3 linked regions of the Caenorhabditis elegans genome follow. The protein of the gene in region 3 interacts with the protein of the main gene of each other region in a biochemical or structural test. Each region holds a gene or a part of one and is shown on either strand. Other genes may lie near its edges.

What was found.
Region 1: the proteins of flp-18 (region 3) and npr-10 interact in a test that uses a peptide from one of them, tested with the Caenorhabditis elegans proteins (one large-scale study listed by BioGRID).
Region 2: the proteins of flp-18 (region 3) and npr-13 interact in a test that uses a peptide from one of them, tested with the Caenorhabditis elegans proteins (one large-scale study listed by BioGRID).

What each region holds. Positions count from the first base shown.
Region 1 is NC_003284.9:13,028,229-13,037,610, forward strand, and holds the start of npr-10 (G-protein coupled receptors family 1 profile domain-containing protein), read right to left. Parts: upstream 4,477-9,382; 5' UTR 4,404-4,476; intron 1-4,403.
Region 2 is NC_003283.11:14,851,184-14,863,403, forward strand, and holds npr-13 (G-protein coupled receptors family 1 profile domain-containing protein), read right to left. Parts: upstream 7,421-12,220; 5' UTR 7,383-7,420; coding exon 7,296-7,382; intron 6,762-7,295; coding exon 6,624-6,761; intron 6,515-6,623; coding exon 6,406-6,514; intron 5,905-6,405; coding exon 5,807-5,904; intron 5,126-5,806; coding exon 5,018-5,125; intron 4,969-5,017; coding exon 4,840-4,968; intron 4,798-4,839; coding exon 4,744-4,797; intron 4,676-4,743; exon of another isoform or gene 4,604-4,675; intron 4,552-4,603; coding exon 4,303-4,551; intron 3,525-4,302; coding exon 3,370-3,524; intron 2,838-3,369; coding exon 2,688-2,837; intron 1,910-2,687; coding exon 1,834-1,909; 3' UTR 1,642-1,833; downstream 1-1,641. Other genes in the region: Receptor-type guanylate cyclase gcy-14, read right to left, coding at 11,985-12,220.
Region 3 is NC_003284.9:3,009,611-3,018,586, reverse strand, and holds flp-18 (SVPGVLRF-amide 3), read left to right. Parts: upstream 1-4,300; 5' UTR 4,301-4,308; coding exon 4,309-4,384; intron 4,385-5,426; coding exon 5,427-5,519; intron 5,520-5,568; coding exon 5,569-5,718; intron 5,719-5,766; coding exon 5,767-5,820; intron 5,821-5,866; coding exon 5,867-6,029; intron 6,030-6,079; coding exon 6,080-6,170; 3' UTR 6,171-6,173; intron 6,174-6,222; 3' UTR 6,223-6,397; downstream 6,398-8,976. Other genes in the region: Y48D7A.1 (TransThyretin-Related family domain), read right to left, coding at 8,412-8,573, 8,819-8,976. UniProt on the Caenorhabditis elegans protein: FMRFamide-like neuropeptides. Ligand to G-protein coupled receptor npr-1. Involved in modulating locomotion quiescence during the sleep-like state called lethargus which occurs during molting between larval and adult stages, acting via npr-1.

The sequences.
Region 1 (9,382 bases), about 10 Mb from region 3:
AAAAATGTGACTTATGTGGGAGGAAAACTGTCGTCTATACGCAACATGCGTCATTAAGTGGTTATTGCAAGACAATCTTTAATGACTTGATGCTATCAAACAAATTTTAACAATTAGAAGGAATCTCGATATGAAAGGAAATAACCAAGATTCAGGCGGAGCATATCTTACAATATAACAATAGTTTGCTGTTATTTTAACATCAGTTTATTACAAAAAAAAACTCTAAACATGATGAGGTTGTATACGAGCTAATTGGAAAACTGCAATGAACCTACATACGAAAATCATCTTAAAATAATCTCCACTCATATCTTGGTTTCCTTTTCTTGTTTGCATTTTGTTGTCCACAGTTTCTACTGTTTTTTGTTTTGATACGAGTAATTAAATCAGATCAATACAAAAATTAAACCTTCATTTAAAATTTTTGAATAGTAATCTTTATTTATTTCATTTATGTTATAACTTAAAATCACAAAGAAAATGTTGCACCTGAAATGTTTCATACGCAGAGTACCAATGTTAACTAGTTGTTACAAATTTTCACAACTGAACAAACAGCTCACAGGAAAAATGAAACTAAACTGACATACAAAGATCACTTCACAAAACGTGTGCATCATATTGAATATGCCACCTCTTTTTTGGAATTTGGTCTGCTTCTGTCATTTTTAGAAAACAATGATTTACCCTGAAAGAAGTCAACGACATATTCTATCAAGTGGCATGCTCGCGCTTATGCGTTCCTAGAAAACTGTAAAATGAATTTCTAACTTTTTTTAAATCTAAATGTTTTTTTGCGATTAGATTTCACTCTATGAATAGCGTTAGGGGTTAAAAAAATTGAAAATCAGGATGTTTATGTGGCTCACGTTAAAAAAATTTATACTGAATGTTATTTGCGCTTGTAAAAAGGGCATCACCGATGAAGTGAATTGCGACATAATTTTTTTCCATTGTGCAACATTAGCAGATGTTTTTTCCGCCTGGCACTTTTGAGACCCGTAATACATAAAATCAAATTATCAATTAGTTATATAATAGTTGCATATGTTTTCAAACACGTTTATTCAAAATGTTGGTTTTGAAACATTTTTAGAAAAAAAGGACTAGCTTCGAACCTAGAGAATGATTTCCTTTTCTAGTTTACAGTAGGAAAAAGCACTGAAAAAGATATCGAAAGATCGCCAACCTACACAGGAAGTATTTAAAGATGTTACCTCCGGAAAAAAATTAAAAACTCCTATGAATGTTTCATAAATATTCGCATGTTTCAATTTCTCATGAAATTCGGGTGCCTTTTGAACTCGCTCTTGAGGAGTGAGTGGATAAGATTTTTGGTCATTAGAATTGATCGTTGACAAAAGTTTACTGTTTACGGGATGACAGTTCACCGACGACGACAAATAATAAATAAAGGAACCTGTGTCGAATTACTTTTTTCTTTCACTTCCACTTCCAACTACACAGAGATCACCTCTTGAGTGAGAAACATTTTCACAAAAAAGTCAGTCAAGTGAGAGAAAAGTGTTGTGACTTGGTGCATTAATTTGTTAGAACGGTTCTAGAATCCAGATAAGCTGGTTTTCGGAAGACACTGATACTAAAAAATAATTTAACCGTTTCCTTGTTAGTTAATGCACTCCAATCACTAGAGACAATTTATATATTCTTTTTTAAAAGTTTCAAACTCTGTTTTGTGCTCGGATTTGCTTAGGTACAAAATCACAAACAAAAGATTAGTTTTTCCTGTGTTTTCAAGTGTTGCATACCCGTCATATCTTTTTGCGGGAAAAGAGCAACAAATTGAGCAGGAAAAAGAGGAAGAAATGTTCGAAAGAATAGGCGTCAACCTTTTACAAAATTGTTGTAAAGATTGAGGGCAAATGTGCTTCGTCTTTTTTTTTTCATTCAAAGAAAACCCGAAGAAAAAAACGAGACTGAACAAGAAGAGGTGCATTACATTGGTACATTCCATTGAAATAGGGTGAAAGGTTCATAAATCGAGTTGTTGTTTATTTTGGGGTTATTTTATTTTTGATTGAGTTTTGAACATCACTGAAATGACAATTTGTTTTTTTTTTCAAAAAATTTCTGCAGTATATGGAATTATAAAGTTTAAAGACGGAAAAGAATCAATGCACATTCACAAAGGGAATTCACCAATATTTTCGAAGAGTATCTTTGCACGTGGTACCAGACTGTCCCATTACCGTTTGATCTACAATAAATAAGGGAATTTTTAGCCCAAGATAATGTGACGTCAGCACGTTCTTAACCATGAAAAATCAGTTGAGAACTCTGCGTCTCTTCTCACGCATTTTTTTGTAGATCTACGTGAATCAAACCGAAATGGAACACTCTGACACCACGAGTCTTTGGGGGCTTGTGCTTATAAACTTGTAAATGAGAGCTAGAAAAAGTACTATTATAAGTTTGATAACGTTTCACAGTGTTTATTTTAGTATCATACATACAAAATAATGAACAAATTTCAGTTCAGTTAAACATGAATTGTAGTGGAAAAAAAATTCAAACTAAAAAAGTACAATGTTTCGTGTGAAATGGGATTAGGTATTTTAAAAAAAACCTACTACAAAAATCCAACATCGAATTTTATATTGATCTTAGAAATTACTATTTAATAGAATATGAGATCTGTTATTTATGTATACCGCAAAAGAAATCCTTGCAGTCTGACTGGAATGGTTCAAATTTTTATACAATGATGGTAGTAATGCTCTCTTTTTGAAAAGTACGCCCTTTTTAGATTTTCTCGAAGCATGTAATATAATAATATAGCATCTAATACTGGTGAACTTTTTGTGATTCTAAAGCAATCCAAATATCAAATCTGACACATCAAATTCTAGTCGGACTGATCTCGGCTAAACTTTCTATGTGAATCTTATCCGGTATTATAATAAAAAATTTAATACTTTTGCAATGGACTTCTTAAATCATTTTTTCTATTAAATCTTGCTACGACACAAGTTTTCATTTTACAAAAGCTAGGTGTGGAAAAAATTTAAAAATAAAAACAATTAGAAGCAATGGAAAATTCGATTTTATTGTGAATGTGTAGATGTCTCAAGTGTGAGAAAATGAAAAAGTCGATTGACTCTTGAGTAGAGATTTGTAAGATTTATGCGCTCAACAAATAGTCGCTCCGTGAGATTTTCAATATTGCGTTGGGATGTGTACTTTTTCCAACGAATATTGGAACATTTACATAGTCGTTCAGTGAGCATGTTGTTTTTTTGCCTGGTTTAAAATAAGGAATGTTCTTTTTTTTTACTGAGTTAAGAACAATGTTGTTCCACTGCTCAGCTGGGGTCAGTGACGTTTTTGTTTCTAGTTTACTTACGCTTATTCACTAATGAAAATTAATTTAATATAATTGTCGTATTATTCACAGGGAGAGAACAGCCGATAGAAATTGACATTTATGTCTTTGATGAAAATTGTATTAGATGCTACAATACTAGAAAAAGGAATTCCTAAGCATACATTTACAGGAATAATAATAATAGCAATATTTCCAAAACTAAAATTCTTTTTGAAAATGGCGTGCAGCTTAATGCAGAACACAATGAAGGGTCCTTCAGATTCTTTATTCCGCCGAGCAAAGTTCATCACGTGATAACGAGTTTTCCTTATTATTCTGTAGAGAGCAACAACCAAAGGGTCCCGAGACTGAGTACAAATAACAAAAAAAAAACGTTGTGTTTTGCAAATACCGCTTCTGAAGTGACCAATATTTCTAGAACAATCAAAACATGTTTTAAACTGACTCGTACTGTTTGTCAAAAAAAAATTCTGATTCTGCTCAGTACTTATGCAATAGATATGCTGGTTGGAAGTTTTGCAGTTTTAGGCCTAAGGAAAATTATTGATGCATCAAATTAAAAACATTCCGGGATTCGGCAGTAACAAAAAGGCCAACACAACCACGAATATTTAACAGAAAGATTTTTGCCTTTTTTGCTTGAAGCAGTACTCGATTTTTAGGAAGAATGAAGTTATCAATATTTCATTTTTAATTCCAACTCCAAGTGAGAGAAATATTGGATTTGTGAAAAGAAAGATCATAAAAATATCAAGAACTTAATGAAATAAATACGATTCTCGATCTAACAATTCATAAAATCTTCAAACCAAACACTTTATTTTTTCAACTCTGAACCCTAAACTCTTAAGCCACATCCTTCATGCATTTGTTAACAGAACGCAAACGCATCATAAACTTTTGCATCTTTTTTGCACCCATCACTTCAAATCTATCTAGTTTGCATTTTTCTCATCGTATGTGCACTCAATTTTGTCACGCTAGCCTCATTAGAGCAGCATGGGCCCGACGAGAAAATGATATCAGTTTTCTGAAAAAGAATTCAGTCACTTACTATGTATCGTTGAGCAATGCTTCTGTAGTGTCCGTTGTGAAGTTTTCACTAGAAGTGTGATTCATTTCCGCTCTGAAACAAAAAAATGATCACGGTCCATTGGAGTGAAAAGTCAAGAATCGAATTAGATAAGAAGAACAAAAACGTCATGAAACACTGATATTCCGAAATAGAAACAAAAAGTATTGTGATTCTTGAAATATGTATAGTCCAGCAACTCATCAAAGTTTAAGGAAGGAAATGAAACATCCGGGATTAGAAAACGAAACCAAAAATACCGAAAAACCGCACTTTTCGTTAGAGTAAGAGATGAGAAAAGTGGGCATTAGAAAGTGGCATTCTGAAGATTTACGGTCAATTTCACGCATGCTATTTACTCTGGTGTGCTACTGCCTAGAGTAAGTTCGATGGCCAGAAATTTTAATTTTTCTGAAAATTGTGAAAAGAATATGAGATTTGAAAATAGTTATACCTAGAAATTTCGAATATTTCGAGAACATTTTATTTGGTGTGACATTCTTGATACTATGTATTTAATCATGTACAAAACTTTTGGAAAATTTTGCAGATGTTTCTACATCCGTTTTGAGGAGCATGCATTCGGCTGTTAATATACCACCTACAAGTTTAAAAAAAAACTCAAAATAATTTGAAGAAAATAGGGTTTGTTGGTTTTTGCACTTACAGATAATTGTGATATATTGGACTTCACAGAAATTTATATATTATAATAATCCGAAATTATGATAAATTGTCAATTTAGCTAAAAATTTAGCTAAAAAGCATAAAATATTTAGTATGATTGGTTAAAAATTCAGAACAAAATTAAAAATAAATTTTGGGCAAGCAATCATCTCTACTGTTGAAATTTTTGACAACAAGCGCAGGCAATGTTAAGCGCGAATTTCTGTTTGTAGCCACGGATAAATTATTTTAAAAAATATAGCCACATACGGGACAACATTTATTAAACATTAAATGTTCTAAACTTGGCTGACATTTTGCGAGTTTCTGAATTTTGATTTTATTACAAATTTTAGTTAACTTAACTTTAAAAAAGGAGCGACACCAAATCAAATTTCAAAAAATGTAATTATGTAATTAATGTAATTAATAATGTAATTTTAAAAATTGTCAGTATGTTATGTTTCATCTCCAGCAACAATCTAAAAAAACGGAAAAGTGCAAGATACCGTAGTGGTTCTTTCTCTAAAGAAATGACATGCAATCGGAACAAAAAACAAACAGAAAAAAGGGTTCCCTTTTGAAATTGCAGCACCCTTCCATTTTTCCTTTGCTTTTTTCTACATATCCACATGTGTGATGATGTCGACGGACTCACTAAAACAACCACGGCGGCTTGATTAAGTTTGTCTAATGAAAATGCACGTTCCGAGTTTCTTCTATTTTAATTCTATCAGGCACAGCCATGATTGGAAAATGTCAAGTAATGAAATTATTTTTAATATAACCTGGAAAGTAAGAATTAATCGCAGAAATATATGTCTGGAAACGACACAATTAGATTAAAACTTTAAGTGAAATAAAAAACTAAAACAAGGAACTAGTTCTAATTTTATTTTGGTTCTTTTTTTCCAGGAAAATTCAATTCATGACCCCGTATTTATGAAGGGTAGCATATAGCATTAAAGAGAGAATTTAAAACTTGAAAATAAAAAGAAAAACAACATAAGCTATTTTGACTCCAACTTAGACATACACACACTCTAGAAAAAAAAACTCAGGAATACTATAATTTATCTTTCAGTCAGCAGTCCTCTCGATAGGACCCCAATTTTGGTTTCGTGCGGCACTCAATTGGTTTTCGGATTGGTCTTGGTTCGTAGTGGGGGATAAGGATTAGACAACGGAGGGACTTTTTTCCATCAAATTTGCAAAAAAAGGGTAACAAAAAGTTGACTTCCGGGTCTCGTTAATTGATTCTACAAGCCAACTTATTCCGTGATTGTTTTCTGATGAGTTTCAAACTACATTTAGAACAAGTGAAATTGAATCCCAAAAAACTTAGTTTTCCTCTTTAAGCTAGTATTCCCTTTTTTACTTTTACTATTTTTTACTATTCCCTTTTTTCGCTGATTACAAATTGAAATTTTTGATAAAGAGAAAGTTGATAACGTTTTTCGGAGACACATTTTTTGCACGTCGCACTAACCCTTTGATATATGTACCTACCGTACTTTTCTAGTGCTGTAAATGATAAATGTAGGTTGAAGTTAACATATCTTCTGGGAAAGTTGTAAACAACAGGAAAAATGTACATGTGGCATTTTAAGGTCCTTGATTAAGTCGGATGCTCATTCACGCTGCAGATACCTGCTAATAACACCTTTTCGGTTTTACATATTTATGCATTCCCTACATTTTTTCTATGTATGACTACTTTTGAAGTGATACACTTTACAAATATTATATTGTTAACTCTAAATGTAGACAGTATTGTTCCTTCTATGTACACATTTATAAGTTTTTTTAAAACAATAATCTGACTAATAAGAAAGGACGTAGAATAGTGAAATCTAAACCGTGTGCGAATCTGGAAACAAATATGTTTGTCCTTATTTTTATACTGGAAGCTCTACAAAATAAAATTTGAAATTTAGTCTGAACACTAATTCTGTTAAGACATCAGTCCTTCATGCAAATGCTAACAAGACTATGATAGAAAAAAAATTTGAAATATCAAAAATATAGAAATGTGAAGCCATAATGTCTGGAACGACCATCAATCAAATGAGGAAAGTAACCAAGTGAACTTTTTAACGAAAAATAAATCTGAGAAATATGCACCCGTTGGGAGTTTCTCGGTATGGTTGTTAGGTTTTTATTTGAAATGTGTTATCATGAAAATGGCCGTTTAAACGTTCAACGGATGAAAGGACATTTGAGAAAAAAGAAAATGGGTCGAGAAAAGATTCGATTGGAAAAACACGAATGTTGGTGGAATGGGTTTCGATAGAAGGACCATGATGAGAAAAGAGTGGAAGGATAGCAGTTTTTGATATATAACTTCCAAGGTGTGATGGACTGAAAGCCCAAATTCAAGATAAATCGATGAAAATGAAAAGTACATCCGAGTTTGAAAATATCAGAATAAGCATGCAAGAAAAAGTCAAAAAGTTTGCAGTAGGTCCTAAAATGATGCTAATTGTGATAGGATAGGATGTCTGCACGGAAGTGTATAGTCTTTAGTCTCTGCCCAATTTCAGGAGGCAAAAAAGGAAAAAGTATATCCCCATTAGAAGAAAAAAAAACAGGAAATAACAGGTTGGCGTCCTGCGAGAATACGGATTTCTAGACTAAGCCTGGGTTTCCTGGCATTATTGTCTGATCTTATAGGTTATAAAAAAGCGGTTTACTTATTTATTTAGTAATAATCAGAAATCAATATGAAATTTGGATTTTAAATTTTGAATCTTGAAACACCCCGTCATAAAGTTGAATTATTGAAGACTACAATTTGTCATGCAGTGGTTTTTCCCGATACTGTTATATATATATATATATATATAACAGTCAACAAGTTTCATACAATGTATAAATATCTCGACTTCCTTGTTTTTGGATTTTAACTGAAGGAGTTAAAAATAAAGTATTCAGAAATGTCATAAAATTCCATTAAAGTCTTTGGAACAATGAAATTTGAAAAAAAAAGTAAAAATAAACAATGAATAAATGATTTTAGTGTCTATGTTTTTTTGAATTGCAAATGCGCTATAGTTCTAAAATAAAAAGCAGATTTGGTCTAGGAATAGACATTGGAATGAAAAGTTTCGATCGTTTAGAGAAATTTGTTTTCTTCTATATTGTTCACTCTATGGTTTCTGTTTTTTTTTCGATCTAATCTCAACCAAGAAGCTGTACATAAATTCATTCTGGGCGTTTCTTAAAATTCCGAGAAATGGCTCATCAAAGAAACAAAAAGACAAAAGAAGGGAATAAAAAGGAATCTGGTCAGGAGGTGGATGTTTCAAGTAAACAATTCACAACACGACGCAGATGCTTTAGAGTCTCCATTACGTCAACTCACAATTTGATTAGCCCTCTCAATCGGTTCAGATCCCCAGACAGACTAAACTCGGAAGTATACAAAAAATAGTGTTCTATGGCTTTTTATTGATGAGCGTCTCGGATTCCAGCACATGGTTCAAAGGTTGAAAAGGGTTTCTTTTTGTGCTACACTGCACACACATAAACGCTGATTTGTTGACTTTTCCAGGCGGCATTTGCGCAAATAGGCGATGAGCTCGCAGATAAATGGGGGCGGAAAACGGGTGCAACTCAAAACACACGAGTCGAGCAAAATGTGAAATACGATAGAAACGTGGGGCCGAAGAATGCATTAATTCTACGAAGCGCTTCACACAGATTTCTTGTCTGTGATGAATGGCTCAGATTTTCTCCTTTTGCTGGAATGGGCTCAAATTTCGAGAGAGCAAGCATTTTTGAGCGTTGGCAAAGAAGGAATGCACGGCGAACTTGTGAAAACGCATGGAAGCAAAAAAGGAAAAGTTTCACATATCAAGTAACAAATTTCAAGACGATATGAAAATACTTAGTTACAACGAAACACTCAAATTCCAAGATTCTTTAATTCTGAAGGTCACCAGAATTTAAAATTTAAAAATTTCAATGGTGATTTTTAAAAATTGAAAAATGCAAATTAACCTTAAATTATCATTAGAAATAGAAATATATAAATGGAAACGTTTTGTGGTACGGCTACTACATAAATTTATATTATTTTGAAATAATCAGGAGTTTTTTGGCATACTTTTTAATGATTCCCGAATCTCATTACTCTTAGTATCAGAGAAAAAACTATCAAAATTATACATGCAAAAATATACGTGTTATTGTAAATCTATATGCTTTGAAAATTGTGTTTTACAACCATATTTTCCTACATCAGAGTGCTCCACGGCAGCCGTTGTGACCTACTGAAAACATCCTTTTAAGGA
Region 2 (12,220 bases), on a different chromosome or scaffold from region 3:
AAGTTTTTTTGTTTATTTAATTGACAAATGAAAAATAATTTTTTGTCAATAACGCAAAAAATGAATATTCGAGAAAACGGAGCAAAGTATTTCGAAACAAAATGAGATCATTTGCTGTCTCTTCTCAAAGGGAGTCCCCTTTTCCTTTGCAAGGAGACAAACACGAATTGATCCATTTTGGAAGTGGAAGCCTAAGAGAAGCAAGAATAGAGAGAAGAGAGTGCAGAGCTCACGACCAAAATAGGGGTGAGAGCAAGGGAGCTCAGTGCCCTCGTCTTTCAAAAGTAGTGCCCATTGGAGAAACATTATGCAAATTGAAGAGAATTAGAGATACCGGATGAACTGAAGGGAAAGCTGTGTGACCAGACGATGGATTAGAAACGGAATTTGAGAGCATTTGCAACTGGTCTAATGCTTCCATTACTTGTTGGGTTAGTGATCCGATTGCGAGCATGGATTTAGGGATCCATGCTTATGTAAATTTGAAGTGAAATTTAAATATGACCCTGTAAACATTGGTTTCTTTTATAAATTTTTAATGAAAAGGGATCTGAATGAAAAACAACTGTTTATAAGTGTCAAAATTTACCTGTTCCAAATAATTGTAATCTTGAAACTTTTTGGTAAATTCAAAGGCGTAATTTTGAATTTTTTAAACAAATTAATCATGATTGGAAATTAAATTTAGACTTTAGACCAACAACAGAAAATTTTAGCAAAAATTGGAATTGGTTAAAATTTAAATTGACATTTTTGAAACAGTTTGATAAAAATATTTCAAAATTGGAATGTCAAAACTTTTTTTGAAGTTTTGAAATTCTCATATTTTTTGCCAATGCAATTTTCTAACAATGAATTTCAAATACAATTTAAAAAACTATTCAAAAACAACCGAAAAAATAAATTCAAAAACATTTAATATGTGGATGTTATCAATTTTTATCATAGTTACAACCTATAAATTGATAGCTCTTTGTGCACGCGGTTGTGACGTCAATTTTAATTGTTTTTGATGAAGAAGTATTGTTCAAATATTGTGAGAATGTAAATCCACACGGTCTGAGACTTAAAGATTACATTAAACCCATATTTCTTAATTTTGAATAATTTTTTTCTATTTTCCAAAAAAGTTAGAAGCTTTCTTATGGACTGAATTTTTTATTGAATTAAAAAAAATGTTTGTGGATTAATTTTAAACATAGTTCGTAAATTCTTCAGACATTTCCCCGCCATCACAAAGTTAATTTATAAATGTTAAATTATCCATTCTTTTTAATTTTAGAGTTTTCCAGGTAGACTCCGTTATAGAGGTTGCTTTAAAAAGTATCCAATAATTTTTTAACAAAAATTCTGATTAGATTGAGCATTTGGTCATTTTTTCAGCGGAATATTTCAATTTCGAAATAATTATATTCAGATAATTTTAAACAATGTTAAGGTTTCGAGTTCAGATGTTTTTTCTAAAATATGTCCTGTTGTTAATTCTCTGTGACATTAGAAAGCTTCAGGCGGTCTTTCTTCGCTCAAAACTAGCTCATTAAAATGCACAACCACCATTGTCGTGCACTTTTCCAATTCTTTTCTCAATTCTTACAAGTAAAGAGGAATAGACAAAAGAGCAAGAAAGCTTCTTCTCCCGGCACCAAGAATATCCAATTTATTGTTTCGTTTCGAAACAGACACAAAAATGGCAAAAAGACGACAGAGCACGAACCCGGAGGGAATGGAGATAGGAAGAGCGGAGGACAATGAGAGAAATGAAATGAAAATGGGAAGAAAAGTGAATGAAAATAATGAGAAAATGAGAAAATGATGAAAAAGAAGTTGGTGGTGTCACCAGTCTCGAGTTGAATTGGTATTCACGCTGCTCGGCCGACGACTTGAGCCATTGGCTTGTGGAATGACGATCCTGTAATTAGAAATAAAATGTTCGTGTGGGATCTTTGGAAAATGTATATATTGCCGGAGGGATCTAGAAAGGAAACGCATGGTATATTTTTACGTGTAATCCCACATTGTAAAAAAAAAACAAAAAAAAATTTGAAACACTCCTTCAAAAAATTATTTTACATTTTTCACATTATGAACAAGCTGCTAAATTTGTGTATTCTGCAAAATGGAATATCACAATATGTTGCCCCACATTTTTCCATGAGGCTTTATATTAAATTACAGAAATATAATTGATTGATCTGAAAATGAATTTCATTTTAATTGGAAATTTTGAAAAGGGGTTCAGAAAATGTTGCAGTTGTTTTTGATGACCTGGCATTTTCCACCTATTGGCAGCTTTCATTAAACTTTTGCGCCTTCATACGTTTCAGGCAAAATATAGACTTTTCAGATGTACCAAATTGTTTTCTACATTTTAATTAAAATATTGGATGAATATTGGGCAATTGAAAATTTCGTAGAATTGCAGCTCATGTATCTCTTCAAGAAAAAAAATACAGTAAAGAGCCACAAGTTTGAAAATGTTCCAGCACAATCTTGTTTAAGATGTTCGGCTTGCTTTTTTGGAAAATCTACGAGAAATTTCCAGCTGACAAAATACTTATGAGAATATTGGGAATACCTAATCATCTTTTACATTTTGTAATTTTTTTTCCAATTGAGCTTCTGGCTTCTCTTTTTCGCCATTTGCATAAAAATGTCTTTCAAGGACTATCAACTGTAACATCACTTACCCGTCTCGATTGATTGCTAGATGACTATTCTTCCTCGTCACAGATTGACATAATGGCATAAGCGGAACAAGAAGGAAACAATTTGATTGAAGTTCTCGCGGAAGACTTCGTTCACGTGAAGTGCATGTCGGGTCCGCAAGTGTGCCACGGCTGAAAAATTTAAAATTGTAGTTTTGTAAGGGATGGCCAGAAATTGTGAACTTTTTGGAGACCTGACCTTGGAACTTTTTCGGTGGGCTCTAAATAATGATGCGTAAAAACTGAGTATTGCCACTTTTTGATAACTAGAGAATTTCAAATTTTTTTGGAACAGTTTCACTGTAATTTTGGTAATTGTAGTATCCATTTGCAGATTTCTCAAAAATGCAGATTAAAAAGTAATTTTTGTTGGCTAAAAAACACAACGCTGGTAAAAAATGTTCTGTGAGGTTTCTATGATTTTAATTTTGAAATATTTCTCATTTCATATCAAAATTGTTCCCCTCGGATCCCTATGAAACAGAATAAAAAGTCAATTAGAATCAGTGTTGCATGTGAGTGTATTCTCTCTCTATCTCATTTTTCCACCCAATACCACCATAATCATATTTAGCCTAAGCACACATACACACACACACATATTTAGCCGGCGGCATCAAAAAGACGAAAATCAAGAAAGACTCGTGAAGAAAGTGTCTCTTACCGGAAATGATTGACACCTAGATGTCGCTCCAGAGTTCGTCTGTAAACCACTGAAACTGATGGAGAAGGTGTGAAGCGAGACAGAACGCCGACGTTTGTATGACGGCGAGCATTGGTGAGCCACGTCATGTCGTCTTTCAGGGCTCGTCGATGACGCTGGAAGATTTGAAAATTAGGGGAAATTAGATGAAATGATTGTTGGGAGGACAGGGTTTATTTTCAAATGTAATCGTTTTTGGTAAACCAGCGGTGCCCAGAAATCGGGAATTCCGGGAATGAAAAGTTTAGGGTGTTTCTAAATTTTGGAGATTACCGGTTTCCGGAAAATCAGAGGTTTCAACAATTGCAAATCATTTTTAATATCATTTTCTGAGACAATGCCTAAAACTAAGATTTGGAGCAATTTGAGCTTGGAAACCAGGGTTGCGGTGCAATCAAAAGTTTGACAGAAGCCGGTTGCTAAATTTCAAAAATTGTTAAATTTAATCTTTTTTTTCTAATATTCAGAGAAGTTTAAAACATTTGAGCTTGAAAGACGTATGCACATTTTTATTTATCGAACTTATATTATCGGAAATTTTAATTTTCGGACAGTCGACAGTACGAGAGTGGCAGGGCACGAAAAATAATAAATCTTTATAAATCTTTTTAGGAAGAAGTGCGAGTATTTTTTCACTATCTCTGTCCGATTGTTTATTTAAATTTAAAAATCCTAATTTCAACCATCAAAAAATGTATCAAAATTATTGAACAATTCCGATAAGCTCAAAAATGTGTTGCAAAAAAGAAAGCCAAGCGCGTAGCTTTTTCTGGAACTATCAAAACTATGACCGCCCACATATTGGCTTCTTCATCTTCAAAATTTTTGAGTTCCATTAACCTATCAAAATCAGAATGAAACACTGTAATTCTAAATACCTAAATGTGCAAATACCTTGCTCATCCAGAAATAGAGCACCGGATTCCATACGATCGAAGTCATCGCGATGACGTGCACATTGAGCAACTTGAAATACATTTGGTCCATCATTAAAACCTTGTAAACAGTTTGACAGAACTCGAATCGCATTCCGAGATCTCTGAACAAATTCACGGCGGACAACGGGAACCAGCAAGCCATAAAAACAATAACCATTAGAATCAACACGTACATCACTCGTCGCTTTCGAACTGCTGTTTGAGCCTGAAATAATTATCGTGAAAAACATTTTGCAAAAAAATTCCAAAAAGTATTTAGGGGGCACCCGGAGTTGAACCAGGGACCTCTCGATCTGCAGTCGAATGCTCTGCCACTGAGCTATACCCCCGACGGGAAAATCGGTTTTCCGTGTCGTTATGAAAACCCTATCGCTATCTGCTACCGTCTATGTCTCACCTGTTGTGCGGCAGTCAACATGGATCCCTCGTCGACAAGCCAGTCGGTTTGTACCTAAAAATAGACCATTTCAAAACGTCTCAATAGATAAAATACCTTTTGTAGAATCATTAAATAACAAAAAGACATGATAATTGCTGGAATAATCAGCTGAATAATCAATAAACTCGTAGTATATGTCAACTTGGATATTTCATCCGACTGCCAATTGAACTCGCCGCAAAACTGGAACAAATGAATGTTAGCTGGATATTTTTGAGGTTTTCAAACTTACATCTCCACATAATGTCACATTTTCAATAACCATTGTTTTCAAGTTCTGTGAGTAATATAGAGGATAACTAGCAAGGAAGGCGACCACCCATGTGAACATCAGAAGCCACTGGAAAAATATATTTGAAAAATTATTCAAGCTTGGGAATTTTCGAAATAAATTTAATTATTTAAAGTATTTAATGCACTAAAAATTAAATTGAATCTCGCAAAGCTACGTTCTAAACTTGAAAATATATACGGTATTTCTTCTATTAGTGTAACTCCGTACGTTTACAAAGAAACTTTCTGAAACGCATGCCTAAAGGCGCACGGGTTTATTCAGAAGGGTCTAATAAGCGAAAACAATTATTGCAACGCTGTTTTAGTTTTCGGCTGTTTTATATCCAATTTACTTATTTTAACCCACTGTCAAAAGTTGGCCAAAACCACCAATATGATATCGTAAACTTTTTATTTGCAGCTAGGCCTTATTTTCATGAATCCATGCGTCTTTAGACAGTGGTTTCAGAAAACTCCGTAATTACTGTAAGTTGACAGAGGAGCACCCGTGCGAGTTTTTTTCAAAATCCTCAAATTGGTCACAAAGACCCATCATCCAAAATTTGTAATTTTAGAAAAATTAGTGCTTTGCCGCTTTTTAACAGTAAATAAAAACATTTCCAATTTAAAAAAAAAAGGTTCACTCTGATGTTTTATTACTTTAGTGCCAAATGAATAGTTCTGAATACTTTTCCAACTGGAGCTACCCCAACTTTAACAGAACCCCATCTAAATTTTCAAATCTTACCCTTGCATGCCTATCAGACCATGGTTCCCGGAGTGGCGTCACAATACTTCGATATCTATCAATTGCGATGTAACACAAAGACCATGAAGAAATGAGCACTGAAAGTTAGGAAATTGAATTGATTCGGGGAGAGAGTTCGTGTGCAAAATCAGTACAGAGTTTTTTATTTTTGAAATTTGAAGCTTCTTTGTGTTTAAAACAGCTGAAAATATGTTACTGCTTTGAGATTTTATGCTGACTTCTGTTCTTCACAAGAGTCGTAACTATTTTTCAAGACGAGCGCCTGAGAACAGGCACAGAGGGTCTTTAAAGCTTAAATTAATTTGGGATAGAATTGTTTTGAAATCAGTATTATACTTATTCAGGTTTTAATTTAGGCACCTGCAACCTACAGGTATACCTCCACCCAAAATATGAGTTACAACACTAAAAAAAAAGAGTCGAAAATGTTTTTTTCGTAATCAAAATCAACTTCAAGTTTTCCCTTTTTCCCTTTACTTCCTCAAAAGCGACACTTTCTACTTTTTGGTCGGCTCTCCCTATCAAATACGATAAAGTGGACAATTCAATTGTTCCGAATGGTTAGATCCCGTTCTTACCCGAAAACGCCTGACAAGTTGGAACCAATTTACACATAATTATTCCAAATATCCATCGCTTCATAAACGCCAATACTGGAGTGATCGGCACCGCCGTGATGCAAAGAAGCTGGAAATAATGTATGACGTTTTTGGTTGACATTAAAATTATAATTTTGATTCTGATCTTGAGCCAGGAACTTTCAAAGTTCAATTCAAATAAAATCTTGAAAACTTACCAAATCAGAAACTGCCAGGTTTATCAAGAATATGTTTGCCACGGAAAGTTTCTTTCGCATTAAAATTGAAGTGATCAATAGCCCATTTCCAACCAATCCGATTATTAATATGAGAAAGTATAGTACTGAATATCCAAGCTGAAAATTGTTACAGTTATTTTGATGATGAGTTTCCGAGCAATAAATTTCAGGTACAAATTTTAAACAAATTTTTGAAAATTTATGATCATTGATTGATTTCAAGGTGGTTTGCAGAAAAATAGAGTTTAAGAAATTAGTTTTTATTCATTTCTAGTTTAATTTTTTAAAATAATGTGCAAAATAAACTTCATTAATTTTTGAAATCTTCGGATTAATTCGGACACTAACTTTTAATCAACTTTTTTAACTTTTAATATCCAAAAAGCATTCAGAACTTTTTTCATTTTTTTCTGAGCACTTCAGTTTGAAATTTCAGATAGGAGGATTTTAGATACGCAGGGTAATATGCCTAGGTTTAGAAGGTGAAGTTTTCAAGCTTTGTTTTCAGACTTATAGTTATGTAAGTTTAGATTATTAAATTTCATAATAATCTAAGTGAAAATTCCAAACAAAAAAGTGTTGTCTAGAAAAAATAAAGAAGTTTCACTGAATCACTCGCTTTAAGATCTCTGAAATCATAAATTAATTTACCCGAACTTCAAAGAGGACTGTCCAATCATTGAACTGCTGAAGAATGGCGTTCACATCTATACAATGATGAGATTCAGCATCACCCATTTTATACTGATTTTCTTTTTGATCCTAAAACAAAGAAGTGTGATGTCTGAGTCCTTTTTAACCGACGTACTAGAAGGATGAGGAGTGTGGGAGGAGTCAGGAAGGCGTAGAAGAAGAAGAAGTCGAAGATGATTAGAAAATGGAGAATAAGGAAGATGAGAGGCATGAATCTGTGGTGCGTGAGATTCGAACATTTGTTTTGTTTTTTGTTTTCTTTACGGACAATAGAGATAGAGATAGATAGGTGTTTCCTTGTGAAGAAGAAGAATTGAGCAAAAAGGGTGAACATCAGCGATCTAGAGTTTCGAATTCTGCGAACTTTGAATTACGAACAATTTTGCACTGACTTCCAAACTGAGAATTTGAGAGCAGGTGCTGAGAAACTTGATTTTCAGCTTGAATTTTTTTGATAAATTGTTAATTTTGTCACGTTTCGGTCTTCAGTCTATTGATATTTCAATGTGTATGTTTATTTCAGAGATAATGCTTCAGTTCCATCGTAACTATAGAGAAAATATACATATTAAAAATGTAACCAAATGAACAGGTTATTTCAGATACAAATTTACGAGGCATTTTTCAAACAAGAACACATATTCATGGATATCATGCTTTTGTGAGTTTACCGTAGTTTTTCTACTATTTTTTGGTACGATAAATAAGATACCAAAATCCATTTTTCATCAAAAAGTTCAGAAATACCCTGTTTTCCCTGGTTTAGATGGGCGTTCAAAATAAAAATAGCCAAGTGGATAGAAAGTTCAAAACCGTGGTATCCGAAATTGGAACTTTTATTTATTTATTTCCAGTCTAAAAATGAAGGAACTTATATTTCAATTAGTTCTAGGAACCTACATATCTTCATTCAAAAAATATTATGGTGGACCACACAGACTTCCTCCCAAGTACGGAACACCCAACAAAAAATATTTTTTCTGTGAATCGCAACAATTTGTATGTCTGGGTCATGGGGCTCACTTAGTCTATCCTGAAATTCAATTCAAAGTCCTCTCAATTTACATACACAAAGTGACTCAAGGAATGAAAGCAACGAAATTTCCCCCTCCCTTTTTTCCAATTTCCAACTCAATTGTCTTTGAGCGTTTGAAATTGAGACCCGCCATTTTGATAGTAAAAGCCTTACGTCGTTCGGTTTTTGCAAATTTCAAGAACATTAGTTAGAAGAAGGGAGGTTTTTAATTGCTATGAGTTCATCGATGAAAAATAATAAAATAATGAAGCATGATGATCAAATATTATTGAGACGAAATAAAAAATTAATATATTTTTCCAAGAAAAAAAACTTATGGAAAACAATAAACAAGTAAATAAGTTTTTGATATTTTAAAAGTAAACAGCTTTAATGTCAATTATCAATGCGGAGGTGGGAAGCAGCAAAGAACTATTCAAGTAATTTTTTTGGAATTTAATTCGAAGGTGGACTGTCAATTGTGGGGACTTTGTGTTAAACTGTTCCTACTTAACAAAGAAAAAACAATTGTTGTGAAATATTATTAAAAACCGAAATTTGGACTGGAAATGCTCTGGAATTTGTGCTCATATAGATGGAAATTTACAAATTCCGAGTAGATTCTTTTACTATAAAATGTTAACCCGAAAACTAAAAGAGATTCTAAACATAATATAACAGACAAACTACTGACTAAGATTTGGTGCATAGTTTTCAGTAAATAATTTCTTACAAATTTCTTTTAAAAATACTGCCGCGGACATCTAACGGGTTGATTCTATTGCTACAGGCGATTGCAGATGTCGAGTCAAAAAATAGTTCAATCCTTAAACCTTTATGGCTGTTAATATAGGCGTAGCATTTCAAAAATAATTGAATAATTGGGCATTCGAATGTTGGGGCTTTTCGAAAAGACGCCGCATTTGCGCAAAGTAAGAAGCTGGAAATAGTTGAGCTTGAGCTTCTGCGGACACATTTAAGCAGCTGAAATATAGCAATTACACTCACTCTACAAGCGTTTGAAACACTAAAATCTATTACTTGAAACTCGTCTGACAACAGTTTTGACTACAGAAAAAACAAAAAAACTTTCTGGCTCATTAAAATAATAGTGGAAACTATGAAACTATGATGATGTAAGAAGCAACTACTAAGAATTCTATGATGTTTTTAATTTATACATATGTTTTTTAATGGAGGACGAACTCCACTGTTTCTATAGAAATAAATGTTCACAGCTTGCGATAAAAATTGAAATTCTGCGCCGTATTTGGGAGACTACTATGATGTGTTTTCTGTTCCGATGGGCTTTTGAATGATCACTGGGATATTCGAATTTTTGGAAGAGATCTCATAACAAAAGATTTTGAAGCACTGGAGATACTAAGCTTTCTGGGAACTTTTCAATTTTAAGTGGGAATATTAACAATAGCGTTTATTATGAAAAACATATTTCATTCTGTATTTTTCGAGTGAAAAAACCTGGCGGGTGACACAATTTTGTTCAAATACATTTTGAAGGTTTAATCTCTGATGAACCTAAAGCGGACCGAATTCTGTGTGCCTTTTTACTGTTAAGGGCCTCTTGATTTTCCATAATTTTTATGTTGCTTGATAATAGAGTAATAAATTTCTTGCCTCAAAGATTACAGAACACATTTTGATCCCACATTTCAAGCAGACTTCTAAAGAAATCTAACAATAGCCTAACTATGATACCGAATATTTTCAGCTGCTGTAGATTTGCAAAAAAATAGTGACGTAGAAAAGTCAGAACAATTTTTTGCTGAACACTGTAAAATTACTCAATGGAAGTTTTAAAAATCTGATATTAATTAAAAAGAATCAGAGAATAATCAATCACTGAGGAAACTTTTAGAGAAGTTTTCTTCAACAAAAAAAACTGACACAGAGCTTTTGTGGTAACCTGCTCGATACATGAGCTAAAAATCAAATATCTGCTTAAGAATAAACTGACCCCGAGCAAGTCGCTACCAAGCATTTTGATAGCTCTATTTTCAAACGCCGACTACGAGCAAAAGTTTCAAAATGCAGCTGATTTGTAAGAGAACATTTTAGGATTTTTTTGCAAGGTGGTCTACATAAAGAACTGATCACGTTTGCTGTCTGATCTTTTGAGTTTCTAATAATCTAGTATTATCAGATAACTCCACTGATGATTCAAATACTAACACTTCCAAAAAGTCACAAAAACACACAACATGATTAATGTAGTGACGACAAAGATAAGAAGGAAGAAGTTTTTGAAGGTGATGAATGTTAGAAGCATCTACTGCTCTTGAGAAGATGAACGAAAATGGAAATGGAATAGAGATGGAGTAAGTTTGGAAAACGAGCAGCAGAAGCAGTAGAAGAAGAGGATGGAGCACACAAGGGGTGTTTGTGCTCGATAGGTGGAAAATGGGTTATTTGGAGAAAATATAGGAGAAGGAGGAGGAGAAGAAGCTGAACAAGTGTGGAGGGACAGATGATGATGATGATGAACCTCGTCGGAAGAAGAAGAAGAAGAATACTCCCTATGGCCAAAATAGTAGATGCTCCACTCTCGTGTATGTATGCTCACTGCCTTATTCTTCTCCTTGCTCCTCCCAAATTACGTTTCATGATGGAGATGATGATGGTGGTGATGATGATGGGCCCTGAGCACACATACATGGATAGATACTCACACAAAAGTTGTGTCGAGCAAAAAATGATGATGATGTTGATGAAAAGAGGGATGAAAAACTGAAAACTTCTGTGTTTATGGGTGGTGAGGATTGGCATTGAGCCCCGTTTCGATAAATGGGATGTGTGTGCACATTTGGGAACACTCATAAAATGGTGGGTGGAAGAGAGAGAGAGAGAGGGAGTTGTAGGATTTTAATGGTATTGCAGCTTAGTAGTACTACTCTCGGATTCCAAGCATTCCATTAGTTTGATTTTCTTGGAAGCTGGATTTTGGAACTTAGCCACGGAACTGTAAAAAGAGGTCTCTGACTTCCGATGGCAAAAACTTTCGGCAGATCCTGAGACCCCTAGCACGCATATCTCCAGGAACAATAATATTTCCACACCAACTAAAATCACAGGAAAAGCTGTTGAGTGAATTTTCTCTAAATTTTCTTGGGTAAATTCTTTGGAATCTGGAATCTGCACTTTTTCTGATCAAAATTTGGAATCAATCCAAATCTTATCAACCGAACTATGCCCACTATCTTCCATATCTATAGAAACGTTTATTTTCTTCAAATGCCAAAACCAAAAACCTCTGCTTTACAGTAGCTTATAAAGAAATAATTGTGTTCTACTTATAATCTCGAAAGGTACAAGTTCTTGGGTGCCAATTAAATTACATTTTAGTAGATTTAAAAAAAATCTTTTTACGGGACCCAGTATCTGCTAGGAAATTATCTTCAAGATCCGGATCCTTTGATAATACAATATATTCACACTGCTGAATTTAAAAAAAGTATGGTTGATCAATTCAAACCAGTGTTACAGTGGAGCGATCTTGCATTAACGTGGGCACACAAATGACATTCCTGTGTCAGTAGTTCATGTTGGTCCTCGATTTTGAAAATTGCAAAAAAAAACATTAAGTGAAATCATTTTTATTATTTTTGTTAGACTTATGAAACACATTCGTTGCCATTATTAAAATCCTTGTAAGCAGAATACAATCCCTTCTGAGTTTCCTCTGACATTTTTTCAATAATTGGAGATATGCTCCGAACAGATTGCCGACGAGGCGGTTCTGGTGTCTTTTCTCGCGGTGCCTGAGCAGAAACACTAATTCTAGATTGTTCTCCTAGAAGCCAATATGTCTCCATAACTCCTTTCCCTTTAATTATAACTTCTCCTCGAG
Region 3 (8,976 bases):
TCTAATGTTTGGTTTGCGTCCAATAAGTTTCACAGCCGAAAATCATCATTTTCTGGCATTGGGTTGTTTTCATACTGTAAGAAAAAATTTTGTTGAGTTTGTTGGAGCAAAACACGGAACACTAGTGCTAGAGCGTCAATTTTTGAGCTAAAACAAATCTGTCACATACTGCTCGAATCGGAGGTAGGTTTGAAAAACATGCAATTCATTTCCAAAATATGACGAATTTTGAAAAAAAAAAATAGAAAAGAAACTCAATTAAATTACCTTATTTTTTCTAGTACGTCAATTTTGACTTGCACTTAAAATCTGCATTTTAAAAATGAAAATTCAGTGCAGCTGCAGTGCAGTGCGGCTATTATTTTCGGCATTTTTGCAAAACTTACACACCACCGTTATAAGAAAATATTTGTCTTTTTTTTTAAATTTTTATTCAGTCGTTATTCGAAAAAGACTTACAGTACCTTGCTGAATTCCTTCCGCATTGCGCTAAAATTTACCGATTGCAAAATAATCTTACATGCTATAGTAATAAAAAATTTACATACTTGCCATTTCATTTCATTTAATTATTTCATCCAATTTATCTTGATCAGTATTACTCTTTGTTAAAAATTCCACTGTTCAATTTTTACATTTCAGTTGTTTTAATATCGAAGTGCACAAGAAGCGCGAACATAATGGACACCATCGCTCAAAAATTATGCTTCTAGTTGTAGTTCCTCGAGCATTTTTGATCTCAAAAGACATTTCCAAGAGCAATAATTGCCATTTTTGAGCTACAAGTACCATATCCTGCTCATAATTCATGTTCCACCACTCCCTAAAGTTTTTTCTTTGGAATTCCCCAGACTTTGCGCCTAAAATTCTCGTTATTCTCTCCAATTCAATTGGCTCAATTCAACTGACTAGATTTCAGTGATGTAGGTAGCGCGGAACTCAGTATTAAGAGAGGACTCAACTCAGTTTCTAATCCAATTTCAACAAATTCTAAGACACCGAAACGCTGCAGGTCTCGTAGAGCCTACGTGTTGACAGGTTCTTCCTTTTCAATCTATTTCCGTCGATATTCCGGCGTCATTTAGTTGAAAATGAGTGAAAAAATGCGATCTGACGCGAATTCACGTGAACTCGAAAATTCGAGAATGTAATCATTAAGTTTCCAAACACCAAGTTCTCTTTCGAAACCAAGTCAATAGAAAAATGAGACACCCACGAGAAGAAGGTTGGTCCGAAAAAAGAAACTAAAGAAGTTATTTATTTCTCTTTTTGATGTTTGTTGAGCAGAATATGATTTAGTTAAGCACATCTGATTTCAACGCCGATGAATGAGGTCGTAGGCGTCACGTTCAATTTGATCTGATTTGTTCAGTGCTTACGAGTAGAAATTCTAAATATGATGTTACTTTTTGGTTCTGTAAGATGGAGCTGGGTATACATGTGGTGCACGGCAATCGCTATTTGGCAATTTCAGTCATTTCGGCAAATTCGGCAATTTTGGCGAATTCTCATATTTTGGAAATTTTGGCAAATGCGGAAAATTTCAAAAACAAGCAATTACCAAATTTGCCAAACGCCGAAAAATTTAAAAAAAAACCGACATTTGCTGGTATTTTTTTTTAATCAGGATGCTAATTATGTAAGGTTAATCTATAAATTCTTGAAACACACTTAACTTTGAAATTGAAATCACTGACATTTCGCGCATTCGCCGATAAAATCTCTAAATAAAATAATGTAAACTGTGTCCAGTTTTGGTACTTGTTTAGTATACCTGGTTCAAAATATTTTCCAATGCGTTTTCCATTTATTTATTTTAGAAATGATCATTTAATTAAAACGTAAAATTCGCATTTTCAAGCTTAGAAACATTAATCCTAAGTCCAATATGGACAAAAAGAGTAGTGTATTAGTACCAAGTAAGAACCCTAAAAAAAAAATATTCTAATTAAATTTTTGGCAAAATGCCACATTTTTCTTTTTTTTCTCAACGGGGAAAAGTTGTGTTTCTTCCCTTTTTATTAAATTTTTTGTTTTCCTTAGGCTAAGTACAACTTGAAATGGAACAGAAATTACATAAATTTATTGCTTTCACATTTTGCTCTTCTTCACTCAAATCTTGGACTCTTGCTTTTCACAAAAAAAACCTTATAAACAAAAATAAGACATCTGAAAAAATGATGAACTTCCTGTCAGTTTGTTCCAGTATCCTTCTTAAATTTCCTTGTTTTCCACATCACAAAAATCCTACATCACGCTTCGACTCATTTCCTGACAGTCATCACATCACCAAATGAATTTCTATTTTTACAATATAGTTGTAGTATTTTTGTCGAACATATATTGTTCTAACTAACTTCTTAAAAAATTGTGCTCTTGACTGAACACAAATTTCTGCGTCGTTTCACGTTTACTTTTCTCAATTTTTTAAAACCAAAATTTAACTGCAAACTTCTGCATTGTTCTAAAAACTCACAGGTTATCTCAAAAAGATAAATTTCAAAGTGAGATTTTTTTAAAAAAATTCCGGACTGTTTTTTGATTTTGATGTTTTTAATGAATTTTTAAAATTCTTTATTAGTGCCTGAAATTAACAATAATTTTAAAGTTTGTCACACTGCGAATAAATTAATCTCACATTTCGTATGTTTAGAAAGATGCATGAAACTCCGTCGTTCTTATGAAGTTAATTAAGACATGGCTAATTGAAAGCCCACATGGTCATGAAAAAGTAAAACTTACAACTTTTTACTGAATATTAACCAGTCTCTATAAATATCCCAGCTTAGCCGGAATAGGGTCACGAAAACATGAAAATAAAGCTTGAACCTATTGTTATGATTTTCAATGCCACCTTTTGCAGTTTAATATACACTATTACTACTTCTCAGTTCAAGTTCACTTCTGAGACGGAACCTTTATTTTCTAACTTTCTTTAATCTTACTTTTTATGAGCCGAATGTTCTATTTTGTAAAATGATCAGATACAAGCCCAAAGCTAATTTTGCCAATAAGTGTTAGTAGATCAATTGAATTACAATATAATGACCTGGGCGGAATAGATTTTTGCACTGATTTTTTTCCAAGCTTACTCTATGAATATTCATAGATCATCTTCAAAGGTAGCGTGTGTTGTAGTTGTGTTTTGGCGGGTTCGTGTTATTTGACTCAGCTCAAGTAGATGTTGTAGTCTTCCCTCAATCAACGCGTGGGCTTGACCCTCTTTAAATTGAGTGGAAACCAGCCAATCTATTTGAAATCTACCCCCGAAATGAGATTCGACGATGACACGACGTGTGTGTTACGTGCGCTGAGAATTTAGGAAAAAAAAGATAATCTTCTTTTCGTTAGCTGCGCCACAACCTGTGCAGATAAACTCCGCACAATTGAAGTTCTTACTGGTCCCACCCGATTTATTCAATTGTATTGTGTCTTTTTTTCTTATTTCTCTACAACTCTAACTTTCTTCAACTATTCTCTACATCAGTGCTTTTTTCCACCATGAAAAAAGAAATGACGTCGTTGTTTCTTAGGAGGGGCGGAGCCTCAACTCAATGGTCCGTTCGAATAGATCCCACCCCTCATATAAATAGGACTGAAACCAAAGAAGTTTTTAAATTTTCAGCTTACCGTGTTTCTCAATTTTCAAAATAGTCTTTTTTGTGTCTGAACGGGCTGATCAATTATGTTTTTTTTTGAATGAAAAATCTTCCTCCCAAGCCTTAAAATTCCTTCCAAAGATCGAAAGTTATGTCTATTCAAGTTACTTCTTCTTAGATCAAATATTAAACAAAAAAATACGCCATCATTCTCTCACATTTAGTAATTCAAAATTTCGATTTGTTTTCGAACTTTTGAATTTCCCGCCTAGGAAGTGACATGAGTGAAATCTCATTAGATAAATGTGCCACTCACCGATGACACTATTTTCAAATAAGGGGGGGGGGTGTTTCGAATACCTTGTACACGCGTTTCCGCAAAACCACACACCCCGAGTTCCTCAGCTTCTTCCCCTCGACCCATGAGCCACGTCAAGATGTCAGCGTGTCACTTTTCATTGCTTCACCTTCTACGGTAACGAGAAAAGGCGGGGAATCCAGGATCTGGTGTGACTTCTTCCTTCTTCGTATCTTCCTAAAAATGTTCGTTTACTTTTTAGCGAGTGTCATTTGATGGGATGTCGTTCTTGAGGAAAGAGGCTAGAAGCTTAATACTCTCATATTTCATATTATTGGCATCAAGACGTTTATTATTTAACTACAATAACGATTGCTTTAACAACTAAAAATAATAATTTCAGGGTTAGACATGCAACGGTGGTCGGGCGTTCTTCTCATTTCGCTGTGTTGTTTGCTTCGTGGGGCGCTCGCATATACCGAACCAAGTAAGTTCTTGATGAACGAAACAAAGAAAAGTCTTGGCTGATCCAATCTCTTAATTGGGTTTGAAGGGAGTTTGGATAGCCCCAGATCAGCGTGGAAGATTGAATAAAATGACGGCAATAATTTGTCTTAATGTAATCTTGAATTTTATTTTAAAATTTTTAACTTTGTAGTTTGTCGAAACGTTGGTTTCGCGTACATTAGTTTTTTTTCAAAATTCTGGACCTGACGTAGTTAGCTGAAATAATTTTGCGCGGTGTTCAAACATCGCATCCGTATTGAAACTTCATTAGTTTTTATAAGCTTCTGTGATATTCATTTTCCAGTGAGACCTATGAATAATCTTCGCTGCTTCCCACGGTCCGTGAATCTCTAGACTTGGTGTTATTGTCTTATTGAAAAGTGTTTCCACTGACCTTCAAACTTTCTATAATCTAGAGTGGCCCAATGTATTTTTGGAAGGAAAAACGCTTGGATGAAAACAAGATGTAGCGGGAAAAAAAGGGGGCGCCTATGGATATTGTGGAAAGATAGTGTTGAGTTGGATGCTGAGTTTTTTATTCTTTCTTGTCGGGGCCCGTTGGGACATGTTTCGTTCGATGGTGCTCTGTACCCATCTAGACCAACGCGGGAAGCCAAGTAAAATGACGCTGTCGTTCTGCCAAAGTGATGTATTTCGACGATTTCAATCAACAAGAAACGTGTTTTTTTTCGTTTCTTTTTTCAACAGGGGTGCACAATTGAATTGTGTCGATTTGAAAGCATGAATTTGAAATTTTTGAAAATTCTCGTAAGGTCGATCGAAACACATACATAACTGCAATTAGGAGGAATTTGGACGCTTAGCGTCCGATAGGGGCGCAAACTTTTTTTTCCAAGGGGTAGTTTTTCACGGCGTCCGATAACTTCCGAGTTTGACCACTCACTATACATAATCATATAATTTTATAATGAGTGGCTCAACTCGGAAATTGTCGGACGCCGGACGTCCGATATGGCAGCCCTAAATACAAGACGGCACATTGAAACAACTTATATTTTCAGTCTATGAAATCGTCGAAGAAGACATACCAGCAGAGGATATCGAAGTGACTCGGACCAACGAGAAACAAGACGGTCGGGTATTCTCAAAAAGAGGTACAAAATTCTTCGTACAACTAACCATCAATTTTTTGTCTAATTTCAGACTTTGATGGGGCGATGCCAGGTGTGTTGCGCTTTGGAAAACGTGGAGGTGTTTGGGAAAAAAGAGAAAGCAGTGTGCAGAAAAAAGAAATGCCGGGAGTGCTCCGTTTCGGTAAACGTGCATATTTTGACGAGAAGAAAAGTGTTCCAGGTAAGTAGTTCCTTGTTGGTTTATTGCATACTGAAAATTGACTTTCAGGAGTTCTTCGCTTCGGGAAACGCTCATATTTCGATGAGAAGAAAAGTGTTCCAGGTGGCATCATCATCTATTCTAAATCAAATAACATCTCAGTTTTTAGGCGTTCTTCGTTTCGGAAAACGTGATGTGCCAATGGACAAACGGGAGATCCCAGGAGTGTTGAGATTCGGAAAGAGAGATTACATGGCTGATTCGTTCGACAAGCGCAGTGAAGTGCCCGGAGTTCTCCGTTTCGGAAAACGCGATGTTCCCGGTGTATTGAGGTCCGATCATTTTAAGACTTCATCCAGCTTACCAAGGTTTTTGTTTTCAGATTTGGAAAGCGATCCGACTTGGAAGAGCATTACGCAGGGGTTTTGCTCAAGAAAAGTGTGCCAGGTGTTCTCCGATTCGGACGGAAGTAAATTGTAAGTTTCTAAATAAGATTTTGCCAGTCTGACATGTATCAAGTTTCAGATGAATGTGAATGTAAAATGTGCCAGCGACAATTCGATGATCTCGTTGTTTTTCTTCTTTTCTTCCGAGCGTCTCATTTCAATCACTTAATATTAAGTTTTTGTCTCTTTTCAACAATGATACTAAACGTTGTCAATTCTAGAGCTCCATACGATTAAATGAATCATTTCCTGTTACGTCAAACACAGTTCGTCTAATTTTTGAGTAATGTAGTTGTGTGTCTATCAATTGTTTTCTGAACAATGTTGAAAAGCAGATTTGTTCATGGTTGACGTGTGTTGAAAAGAATAATTACCTCCAACTCTGTGCATTTTAGGAATTGATTCATTGAGCTTTCAAACGATGAAAAAGTATGCTTTGTGTTATGTCAGTTATCAGATTAGATAAGTCTAAACAGAACCCAGTGTGAAATGAGTCTATTCATGAAGCTGCTGAAAATTTGAAGCATGTGTATCAAAATGATTCCAAAAAATTTGAAACGCAGAAAAGTTTTTTGAATTATCAAATAACCAACTTCATGTGCACAGGTAATTTCCGTCCTTAATTCTCTTTCAAGTTTCAGATTTGATTAATTGAATCTGGGATCATGAAGATTTTTTCAAACTGCTTTTCCCAATACACTGATGAATCTAGTACTGTACAATTTTTCTTTCATTTCAGAGAGAGCATCAATATTAAAATTAATTGTAAGCAAGTCAACAAAGTCAACAAGTTTTCTACTTAATTATGGCTTCACTTTTCACTACGTTCATTAACAATAATTTTAAGTACCGTATGTTTCGGAGTGGTATCCAACCCATGAGGTACTGATAGGACTAACAAAAAATTCTTAATCAATTAACTTATTAGGGGTGATTAAAGGAAAAAACCTTGAATCACAACATTTGACGCATCCATTTAATTGGCCGTCGGGCCCGTGCGGCGGTGTTGAAGACTGAAGATTAGGCCAATGTGCGTAGCGCCATGATGATGAGAGTACGGTCGTTGTTGTGTGTGTGTGTGATAAACACTCTTTACGTTGGTCCGGACAGAGGAATTGGGGGAGAAATGCGTTGATGATGTGTTGACCGATGAAGATAATAGCTATAAAATTTACATTTTACTATTGCCTCTTTTTCACAAAAAAAATTAATTTCTCACTTTGATAGCAATATCGATCATTTTCGTACATGATTCACAGCTCCATTTCTTTTCATTTAACCAACGTCCATCCTTCGTTCTAAAACGCACATTATTAACTTATCGAGTTTTTATGAATGAATGCATGCACTCTGCTAATATATTTGACCTTTAAGAGCAAAACACATAATCATAATTTGGTTACAAAAACTGTTATAATATAAATGCCAAAGATTAGAGGCATACTCACCGATCCGGGCAGAGTGACAGTAAATGAGCACATGTCATAGTTTGAGAGGAACGTGCGTTGGTATGGAAGATTTCTTTGTTGAAGCCATCCAATAGATCCGTTACAATTTCGAGACTGCGTGCAAGCGTCTTCTAATTTTTCCATTCATTTGACAAATTCGAAGAAAAAACGAGTGACTAGAGGAGATGAGCAATCGGAAGTCCTAAATATGCTTTTGTTTAAAAAAATCGTGAAGCAATGAATAACTCACAGAGTAGAACGTGCGGAGCTTACGTGGGCACTCTTCACATTCAGGCCAAGTTTTCATATTCAAGCTTGGGCCATATGCTGCTGAAAACGTTGAACTTCGTATATGTCTAGTGGTTTTGTGTAAAAGTTCGTGAAAGGCCCATCTCGGGCTGTCCAAATCGGCGGCGTCATTGGAGTCTCTTTCTGCAGGATACGAAAACTGAACATATTCCTGCTCAATATTTTGCTCAAAGATGTGTGAACCTCCGTCAGGTTTGAATTTCGAGCTTTTTGACAAGCTATTGATTTCTTCAAAATATAAGTTCTTTTCATTCAACTGAAACAACTTTTTGCTCTTAATGAGCACCAAGGGTGTCAATTCCCGTTTTCCGTTTGTCCCGTTGTCCCGTTTTTGGGGTGTTTTCACGGGAACGGGAATTCCCGTTTCCCCGTTTTTAAAATTTTCACGGGAACGGGACATTTTCCCTCATTTTTTGCCAACTATGCACTCTTTTTTTAAACCGCCCAGTTTGTCCCGTTTTTGAGTGTTTTCAAAAAAACGGGAATTCCCGTTGTCCCGTTTTCGAAATTTTTACGGGACATTGACACCCTTGATGAGCACAAATGGCTCTTGATATACTCCTTTCGAGACGAGTAGCTGTTTCTTCTTTTGGAAAATGTTCGGAAAATCTGAAGAGGCAAATGAACAGAGAAAGTTGTTCTTTCCAAGATATCGAACCTGACCAGAGGGTTTCTGAAAATAATTTATTGATGAAATGAAGACTGTCTAGATATTAAGAAACCATAGGATCATGAGAATGCCTGCCGTTTTGGCGCGGGAATATCTTGTTGCGAAGGCACCTAAATTTCTCGTCGTCGCATGTTCTCCCTGCTGCCGCAACTTTCGCCCCAGAAAGGCATTTTCATGAACTTATGGTTTCTTAATAGTTTCTTTTCATAGTTTTTAAAGTTAGTCATACAATAAGAACATTTTCTCACCTTTTTGTTAATGACTACTTTATCAGGAGTTTCAACGTTGGCTTGCAAGCATTGCATGTGGTGTTGCACGCAAATCATATATTTTGTTGTCTCATCAGCATTCGTGTCGACTTTGAAGGCGATGTATCGATTAACTTCGGTAACATTTTGGACGGATA